Linked DNA regions of Ovis aries. The protein of the gene in region 1 purifies or fractionates together with the protein of each later gene. This does not show direct contact. Links are inferred from orthologs where the notes say so. Each region holds a gene or a part of one and is shown in the gene's direction. Other genes may lie near its edges. The genes, in order: FBXL12 and STYX.

The links.
Region 2: the proteins of FBXL12 (region 1) and STYX purify together in Homo sapiens (affinity purification with mass spectrometry; 4 studies listed by BioGRID and IntAct, with this or other methods). This does not show direct contact. The link is inferred for Ovis aries from reciprocal best matches to the Homo sapiens genes FBXL12 and STYX.

The regions. Positions count from the first base shown.
Region 1 is NC_056058.1:12,269,210-12,273,128, reverse strand, and holds the start of FBXL12 (F-box/LRR-repeat protein 12), read left to right. Parts: upstream 1-1,504; 5' UTR 1,505-1,755; coding exon 1,756-1,841; exon of another isoform or gene 1,842-1,950; coding exon 1,951-2,023; exon of another isoform or gene 2,024-2,025; coding exon of another isoform or gene 2,026-2,121; intron 2,122-3,919. UniProt on the Homo sapiens protein: Substrate-recognition component of the SCF (SKP1-CUL1-F-box protein)-type E3 ubiquitin ligase complex.
Region 2 is NC_056060.1:11,434,849-11,438,767, reverse strand, and holds the start of STYX (serine/threonine/tyrosine-interacting protein), read left to right. Parts: upstream 1-1,524; 5' UTR 1,525-1,778; coding exon 1,779-1,835; intron 1,836-2,084; exon of another isoform or gene 2,085-2,109; intron 2,110-3,919. UniProt on the Homo sapiens protein: Catalytically inactive phosphatase. Acts as a nuclear anchor for MAPK1/MAPK3 (ERK1/ERK2). Modulates cell-fate decisions and cell migration by spatiotemporal regulation of MAPK1/MAPK3 (ERK1/ERK2).

The DNA.
Region 1 (3,919 bases):
ATCCCACAAGCTGCACAGTATGGCAAAACAACAAAGCCCCCAACAAACAAACAAAAACAATGTATTACCATTATAGGCTCTTGGGAGTGTGATTTAGTAAAAGCTATTATAGATATAATATATATATATACATATATATGTAATATATACTTTCTGTTTCTATTATAAATACAATCTATTTCTATATGATAAATCAAACCAGGAATTGGATTGATGTGTCAAAGGACATGCCTCATGCGAAGAGTTGACTCATTGGAAAAGACCCTGATGCTGGGAGGGATTGGGGGCGGGAGGAGAAAGGGATGACAGAGGATGAGATGGTTGGATGGCAACACCGACTCAATGCACATGAGTTTGGGTGAACTCCGGGCATTGGTGATGGACAGGGAGGCCTGGTGTGCTGCAATTCATGGGGTCGCAAAGAGTCGGACACGACTGAGCGACTGAAATGAACTGAACTGAACTGAATGTTTTTTAAATGAATTAATTGGAAAGTCATCAGATTAACAGTTATTACAGTGTAGGTCTTATTCGCCAATTATGTAGTTCTTTCCTCAAACAGTATGACAAAAATTCAACGAGAGTGTACTGCTTATAATTTTGAATAGCTTTTGCCAAATCACACTTTCAAGAGCCTATAATGGCAATACATGGTTCTTTGTTTGTTGGGGATTTTGTTTGTCTTGCCATGCTGTACAGCTTGTGGGATACTAGTATATGTTACATATATATGTATATATACTTTGGCCACCTGATGCAAAGAACTGACTCATTGGAAAAGACCCTGATGCTAGGAAAGATTGAAGGCAGGAGGAGAAGGGGACGACAGAGGATGAGATGGTTAGATGGCATCACCAACTCGATGGACATGAGTTTGAGCAAACTCTGGGAGTTGGTGAACAGGAAAGCCTGGTGTGCTGCCGTCCATGGGTTCCCAAAGAATCAGACACGACTGAGCGACTGAACTGAACTGAACTAATATATGTATATAAAAGAATGTTTAGCTCCAGTATTGTTTAGCTTACCTGGAAGCAACCTGAATGCTCATTAATACAGGAGTGTTTCAATAAATTTCACTGCCCTGATGACTTGGCAACTTTAAAAATGAGTGTTATATATGTGGAGCAAGTGTCAATTCAGGCTCTGTGGAGAACAGTTTGGCGCCATCAGTAAAAGTAAAAAATTCAGTGTCTTTTAACAAGCTATTTCACTTCTACAAATTTATTCTCATGGACAAAAAAGCACTATTAAGTAAAAAAATAGGGACTTCCCTCTCTGCCTAGAGCTCCGCTTTTGGTCCCGCCCTCAATCCCGCCCTTTAGGGCTCGGCATCGGTATTAGGAGCTCGGTCCTAACCTCCAGCCACGCCCCCAGTCTCGTTCTCGCCCTTAGCCCCGCCCCAGGCTCAGCGTCGCCCGAGCCACGCCTTTTTTGTTTGGCCCTCCTCTCCGGCCCCGCCCCCGAGCCGTGTTCCCACCTTAACCCCGCCCTTGACTTCGTAATCGCCTTAGCCACGCCTTCCAGGCTTGGTCCCAGTCCCCAGCCCCATCCTCTGTGCGGAGTTCTGATGCCGTGCTGGTCTGGCTGCCAGGTCCAGCCACGTCCCCTCAAGAGCAAAGCCGAAACCCCGCCAGCTACCGGAAACTGCGACCACCTCCCTGTCCGCACCCTCTCTTTCCCCCGCTTCTTAGGGCCCCCGCAGGGCGAGTCCCCGAGTTCCTTTAGACGGAAGCGGAAGTGCGTGTCAACGGGATCATGGCGACTTTTGCCGACTTGCCCGACTCGGTCCTGCTGGAGATCTTCTCTTACCTCCAGGTCCGGGATCGGATCCGAATCTCCAGGTGCGGCCGCCCCCTGCGGGAGGGAAGGGCCAGGCGGGGGGCGCACTAGGAGACGCACATCTGATCCTCGCGGGCCCGGGTCGTTCTAACGGCGGGTCCCCTCCCCCAGGGTCTGTCACCACTGGAAGAAGCTGGTGGACGACCGGTGGCTGTGGCGACACGTCGACCTGACGCTCTACACGGTATGCGGGTCTGGCCGGGCAGGCCTGGGCCGAGGTCGGGTTGGTCGGACTTCGAGGACCACGCCTCCAACCCTGTGTTTCGAGCGAGGCTCTCCCGAGTGCGTCCCGCCCGCGTCCCTTACTTGCTCTGCAGTGACCTCCAGGCCTCAGCTTCCCCATCTCCAGAATGGGTATAACCAAGGTCTTGCAGGAAAAGAGCTTACTGATGAGTTTTCATGGAGAAATTTTCTATAGTCGACTTAGTTCTAGAATTAATCTGAGTAGTCAACCAAATCATTTCAACTTTCTCCCGTTTGTGCTTTATTTATTTTTCTTTGTTGTTGTTCAGTCGCTAAGTTGCCCAACTCTTTGCAACCCTATGAACTACAGCACACCAGGCTCCCCTGTCCTTCACTGTTTCCCAGAGTCTGCTCAAATTCATGTCCACTGAGTTAGTGATGCTCTCTAACCGTCTCATCCTCTGCTGTCCCTTCTCCTTTTGCCTTCAATCTTTCCCAGCATCAGGTCTTTTCCAATGAGTTGACCCTTTGCATTTTTCTTTCTATTATGAACTATTTCAGATAGATATAGAAATGTATAGAGGATAATATCTGAAACTATGTACTCACCACCTAGATTTAATCTTTTTAAACCTTTGGCTTTATTCACTGCAGATCTTGTGAAATACACATACAAATGTTTCTATGCAAACATATGCATACAACATTTGCACATATGTTTCTTGCACTTTTGAAACCCTCCTCAGAGATAACCATGACTATGAAGTGGATTTGTATCCCTTCATGTTTTTATTTACTGCCTATGTATGTGCTTATCAGCAGTATACAGTATTGTTACTGTGTTTCTAAAATTGAGATAAAACTACTCTTTAGATAATTAAATGCTATTTTACTTATATTAATATATCCACCCATTAGCAACTTTATTCACACATCACTTTTGAGATTTACTCTAATTAGTACTTGTAAATCTAATTCATTCCTTTTAATTGCTGTTAAATGAATATACCACAGTTTGTTTCTCTATTTTCCTGTTGACAGATGGTTAGATTATTTCCAACTTTCTACCATCACAAACAGCTTTATAAGACCGTGTCTCAAACTTTATTGTACATATGAATCACCTGTTGGTGTTAGGTTGGTGTTGGTCACTCAGTCGTGTCCAACTTTTTGCAACCCCATGGATTATAGCCCGCCAGGCTCCTCTGTCCATGGGATTTCCTAGGCAAGAATACTGGAGTGGGTTGCTATTTCCTCCTCTGGGGGATCTTTCCGACCCAGTGCACTGATAGGCAGATTCTTTATCTCCAAGCCACCAGACTATTTTATTACGAAAACTTTCAAACGTATGTAATAGTTAAAAGAACAGAGAACATAGAGTTGCCCACCACTAATACTTAATACATTTGTTTTATCATCTCTTCATCCATCCATCCCTCTTTCCATCAAGCTTTTATTTTTCAAATGTTTATTTATTTTGTTTTCCCATTTTATTTTTTAAGTATGCTTCAAAATCAGTTACAGATGAGTCCACTTCTAAAACACTTTAGTACCCATAATAGAGATTAACTAGGACATTTGTTTTACATTTCTCTTTTTGAGGTTTTATTTTTTAAAATCACAGATCATGAATAATTCTTACAAAAATTGGAAGTAGTATAACTATGTATGGTGATAGATATTAACTAGACTTATTGTGATGATCATGTCATAATACATACAAGTATTGGTTCATTATGTTGTATGTATGCCTGAAACTAATATAGTGTTATATGTTAATTATATCTAAATTAAAACCAAACCAAGCCAAAAAAACATTGAAATATGGTCACAGATGAAGCAAGAGCCTTTGACAGTCATCCCCTGGTATCTCTACCCTTCCCCAGAATAACCACTA
Region 2 (3,919 bases), on another chromosome or scaffold:
ACTCTTCTCAGAAAAACTTACACATATGTATACACACAATTTTGCATATATTAAAACTTGCAAGATGTATTATTTCCCAAGCTCACCCATGGACTCCATAGGTATCTATGGATACCAGGCTCAGAGTGTCTGATGTAGGGGATGTTGATGTCAGAAGTGTTCAAAACAAAAGTTCTGTTACCTATACACAATTCTTTCTCATATTATGTGGGAATTAAAGCTTTAACAAATTACAACAGGAAATCATCATTGGGCAGCAATTAAGATTATGTTATTAAAGGTGCAGTTAAAAAAAAGAAACTGTCTTCAGTTTAGTAAACACTGAAGAAATGAATATGACTCAGGTAATTATAAAATCATTCTTCTAATAAAAAACTTGCTAGCAGAGTAATATGTGCCTTTTTATGACTAAAAGAGAACCGTTTACAGATAGTGGTGAAGAAAATGGAGCCCTCAAACTAGCCAATTTAATCCTTAAAAAATTATTAAACAGTTCTATTTCTCTGTATATTTAGTGAGTTTCATAAATATGACTATAAAAAGTAATAGGATGTCAGGTTTAGGTCAAATATCAATGTGATCTTTTTTATTCTTTCCATTGTAATTTGCAGTTGTTGGGGCGCGGGGGGTCGTTTTTAAGAGTAAGTTTGGTGTACAAATCTTGAATGTTTTTAAGTGTGGGTTCCTCCACTAATCTTAATTTTCTTCATCTGTTTAAAAACAAAAAAGATACCATTATCTCCCTAGGCCCAGAGAAAGTGTTATATACCTGAACTTTATTAACAATATCGTATTAACTGATTCAAACTCCTTTTAAAAAGATATTGAAAGCCATATAGTTTATAGTTTACTAATACGTTGAAGTGTAATAAGCTTAAAATTAAAGGAAGAGACCTTCAGTATTATGTACAAATTAGTGAGCTATCAATTTTTCTAATTTAAGATTTTTTCTTGATATTTTCCAATTGTCATATTCCCAAGTATTGTTAAAAGTACACCGTTTCGGTTTGCTTAAAAGTGAGTGTTTCATTCTCTGTGTCGCATTACATAATTTTCAGGTGAACTCTTCATTACTCTTGGTTATAACCTCACCACAGATTGAGCAGGATTCTCAGGAAGGGAGAAAACTACAGTTTCCTTTCGTATGCCAGTTTCGTATGGGGGCTAGGATGTCTTCCCGGTTCTTACATCAAAGTAGGGATTTGCGTTGGGTCCAGAAAGGGCAGAGTTGTTTCAGATTATCCCACTGCCTTTCCCGGGACAGTCCGTTCTCCCTCCTGCGGCAGCCCCACCTCCTCCACATCCAGCGAGCTCCAGCCCGGGCGCCTCCGGGGCCCCGCCCCCCAGCGTCTGCGCGCTCGCGAAGGGGCGGGGCGGCGGCGCGCTGACACCTGGCGGCCGCGGGGGGGGCGGGCCGAAGGCAAGCGTAGGCTGGGATTGGCTGGGGCTGCGCGGGGACGGCGGGAGGGGGAAGGAGGGGAGACGGTTGTAGGGCTCGTGTTGGTGCTAGAGCTTGGGCGGCCTGAGGGGCGCGGAAGCACGGGGGGGAAGAAGACGGCAGCAGCATGGCGGCCGGATACGAGCCGCCCAACCCTCTTCCCGGCTGTCGCCGGAGTCGCCGGGACCCTATAGTCTGCGTGTGTTAGTTGTAAGCCCGCTGCCTCCCGGTCAGTCCTCCTGTCTACATTTCCTTTCACCGCCACTGCCTGCCCGAGGGTCGGCCGGCGGGTAACTCCCACTCCTACCCGGCCCCACCCACAAACCCGCGGGCCAGGACCATGGAGGACGTGAAGCTGGAGTTCCCCTCGCTCCCACAGTGCAAAGAAGACGCCGAGGTGAGTCTGGCAGTGACTAACACGCACAGGCCTCAGTGGCTCTTCGCCGAGGGGCGAACCCCAGGCCCCAACCGTCGCAGCCTTCACCTACTGGTAGCCCTGTTGCCTCCTGAGGGCGTCTCGGGACCCCGGGGCGGAGTCTCGCGCTCCGGGGCCGTCTGCCCCGACCACGGCTCCCGGAGTTCCTCTTCCCCTCCGGAGACGCCCGGGCCGGGTCTGGTCTGCTTACTTCAGTCCTTTTTCCCCCAGATTCGGCGTCGAGGACTTACTTGAAGTAAGATAACCCTTTTATTGCCAAAGCAATGCAAGGATATGTTTTTAATCTCATTTTGAGGGATAATCTTTGGTGTCATCGATTGACTTGTGGGACACATGAGCCCACGTGTGGAATTGATGTGGGGCCTGAACTTGGAAGTGTGCCTTCAACAAGTTTCCCGAAGTAGTTGGTTTGTTTTGGTTTGATTTGATTTTTGGTGTTTTTGAGGCAAACCGTGATCATCAGAGTGAAATGTCACGAAACTAGCTCATTTGAATCTGAAAACTTCAGTCAAAAAACTTGCCCTTTGGAGGGAAATTAATATGGGGAATAAAATTCTTTATAACTTGGTCTCCTGATTTCTAACTCGGGGTTTTTTTCATCCCACCTTACATCTTCCCTCCCTATCGTTTGTATTGCGTTTTCCCGCATCTATTCCTAGTTTAAAATGCTTTATGGTATTGGAGACTACTAAATTAGAAATTTTCTGAAGACAGAATGCGCTCTAGTAGTCTCAAGAAAGAAATGTTAAATTTCTGCTTTTAAGAGATCAGTTTATGGCAGGTATTCATTCTATTAAATGTCTTCTTTTGTGGTTGGTTCACCTTTTTTGATTTGGGGGATCATTTGCTTGTGATGATAATCCTTGAGAATTTCATGTTTTTAAGAGTAGATTCAAATAGGAAAAAAGAGAATTTAGGTTAGGTTAAGAATGATTTTATACTTTTTTCTTTTATATGGAATAATGTGAATGAAGAGTATGCTTATATATCCTTGAAATGATTCAGTAATTTCAACACTAGGCAACCTTAGAAATAATGTAGAGCTTTCCCACTTTTAAGATGAAGAAATTGTAGCTTACTAAGAATAAATGGTATTCCTAGTGCACCTTGGTGTCCTCGTTCTTAATTCATTGTCCTTTTAAATACACCTCAATTCTTCCCTGTTCTCGTCGTAATAGTTCTAGTTTAAAATGTTTACAGACTTTGCATCTAATCTTATTGAATGATAATACATCTTATCTTTGCAAAGATTGTAAAATTCTTAGGAACACAGCTTGCTTCTTTCCTGCTTGCTGCTTTTCTTGTGTTGGAGAGAAGTAATACTTAACCCTAGTACATAATGATATTCATATCATCTACTGAAAGCCAGATCGTTCCTTATTCTGTAGCATTGGATGTTTGTTATCTCTCAGTTACAAGGGACAGAAACCAGAGGAGCGTAAGTAACAAAGAAAAGAAGTAACTAAATCCAGAAAGTTTGGAGTGCAAACTGGTCTCAGACTTGACTGCAGCTACTACTAAGTGTTGTGTTGGAGAAGACTCTTGAGAGTCCCCTGGGCTGCAAGGAGATCCAACCAGTCCATTCTGAAGAAGATCAACCCTGGGATTTCTTTGGAAGGAATGATGCTAAAGCTGAAGCTCCAGTACTTTGGACACCTCATGCGAAGAGTTGACTCATTGGAAAAGACTCTGATGCTAGGAGGGATTGGGGGCAAGAGGAGAAGGGGACGACCGAGGATGAGATGTCTGGATGGCATCACGGACTCGATGGATGTGAGTCTGAGTGAACTCCGGGAGTTGGTGATGGACAGGGAGGCCTGGCGTGGTGCGATTCATGGGGTCGCAAAGAGTCGGACACGACTGAGCGACTGAACTGAACTGAACTGCTAAGACGCTTCAGTGGTGTCCGACTGTGTGACCCCATAGATGGCAGCCCACTAGGCTCCTCCGTCCCTGGGATTCTCCAGGCAAGAACACTGAAGTGGGTTGCCATTTCCTTCTCCAGTGCATGAAAGTGAAAAGTGAAAGTGAAGTGGTTCAGTCTT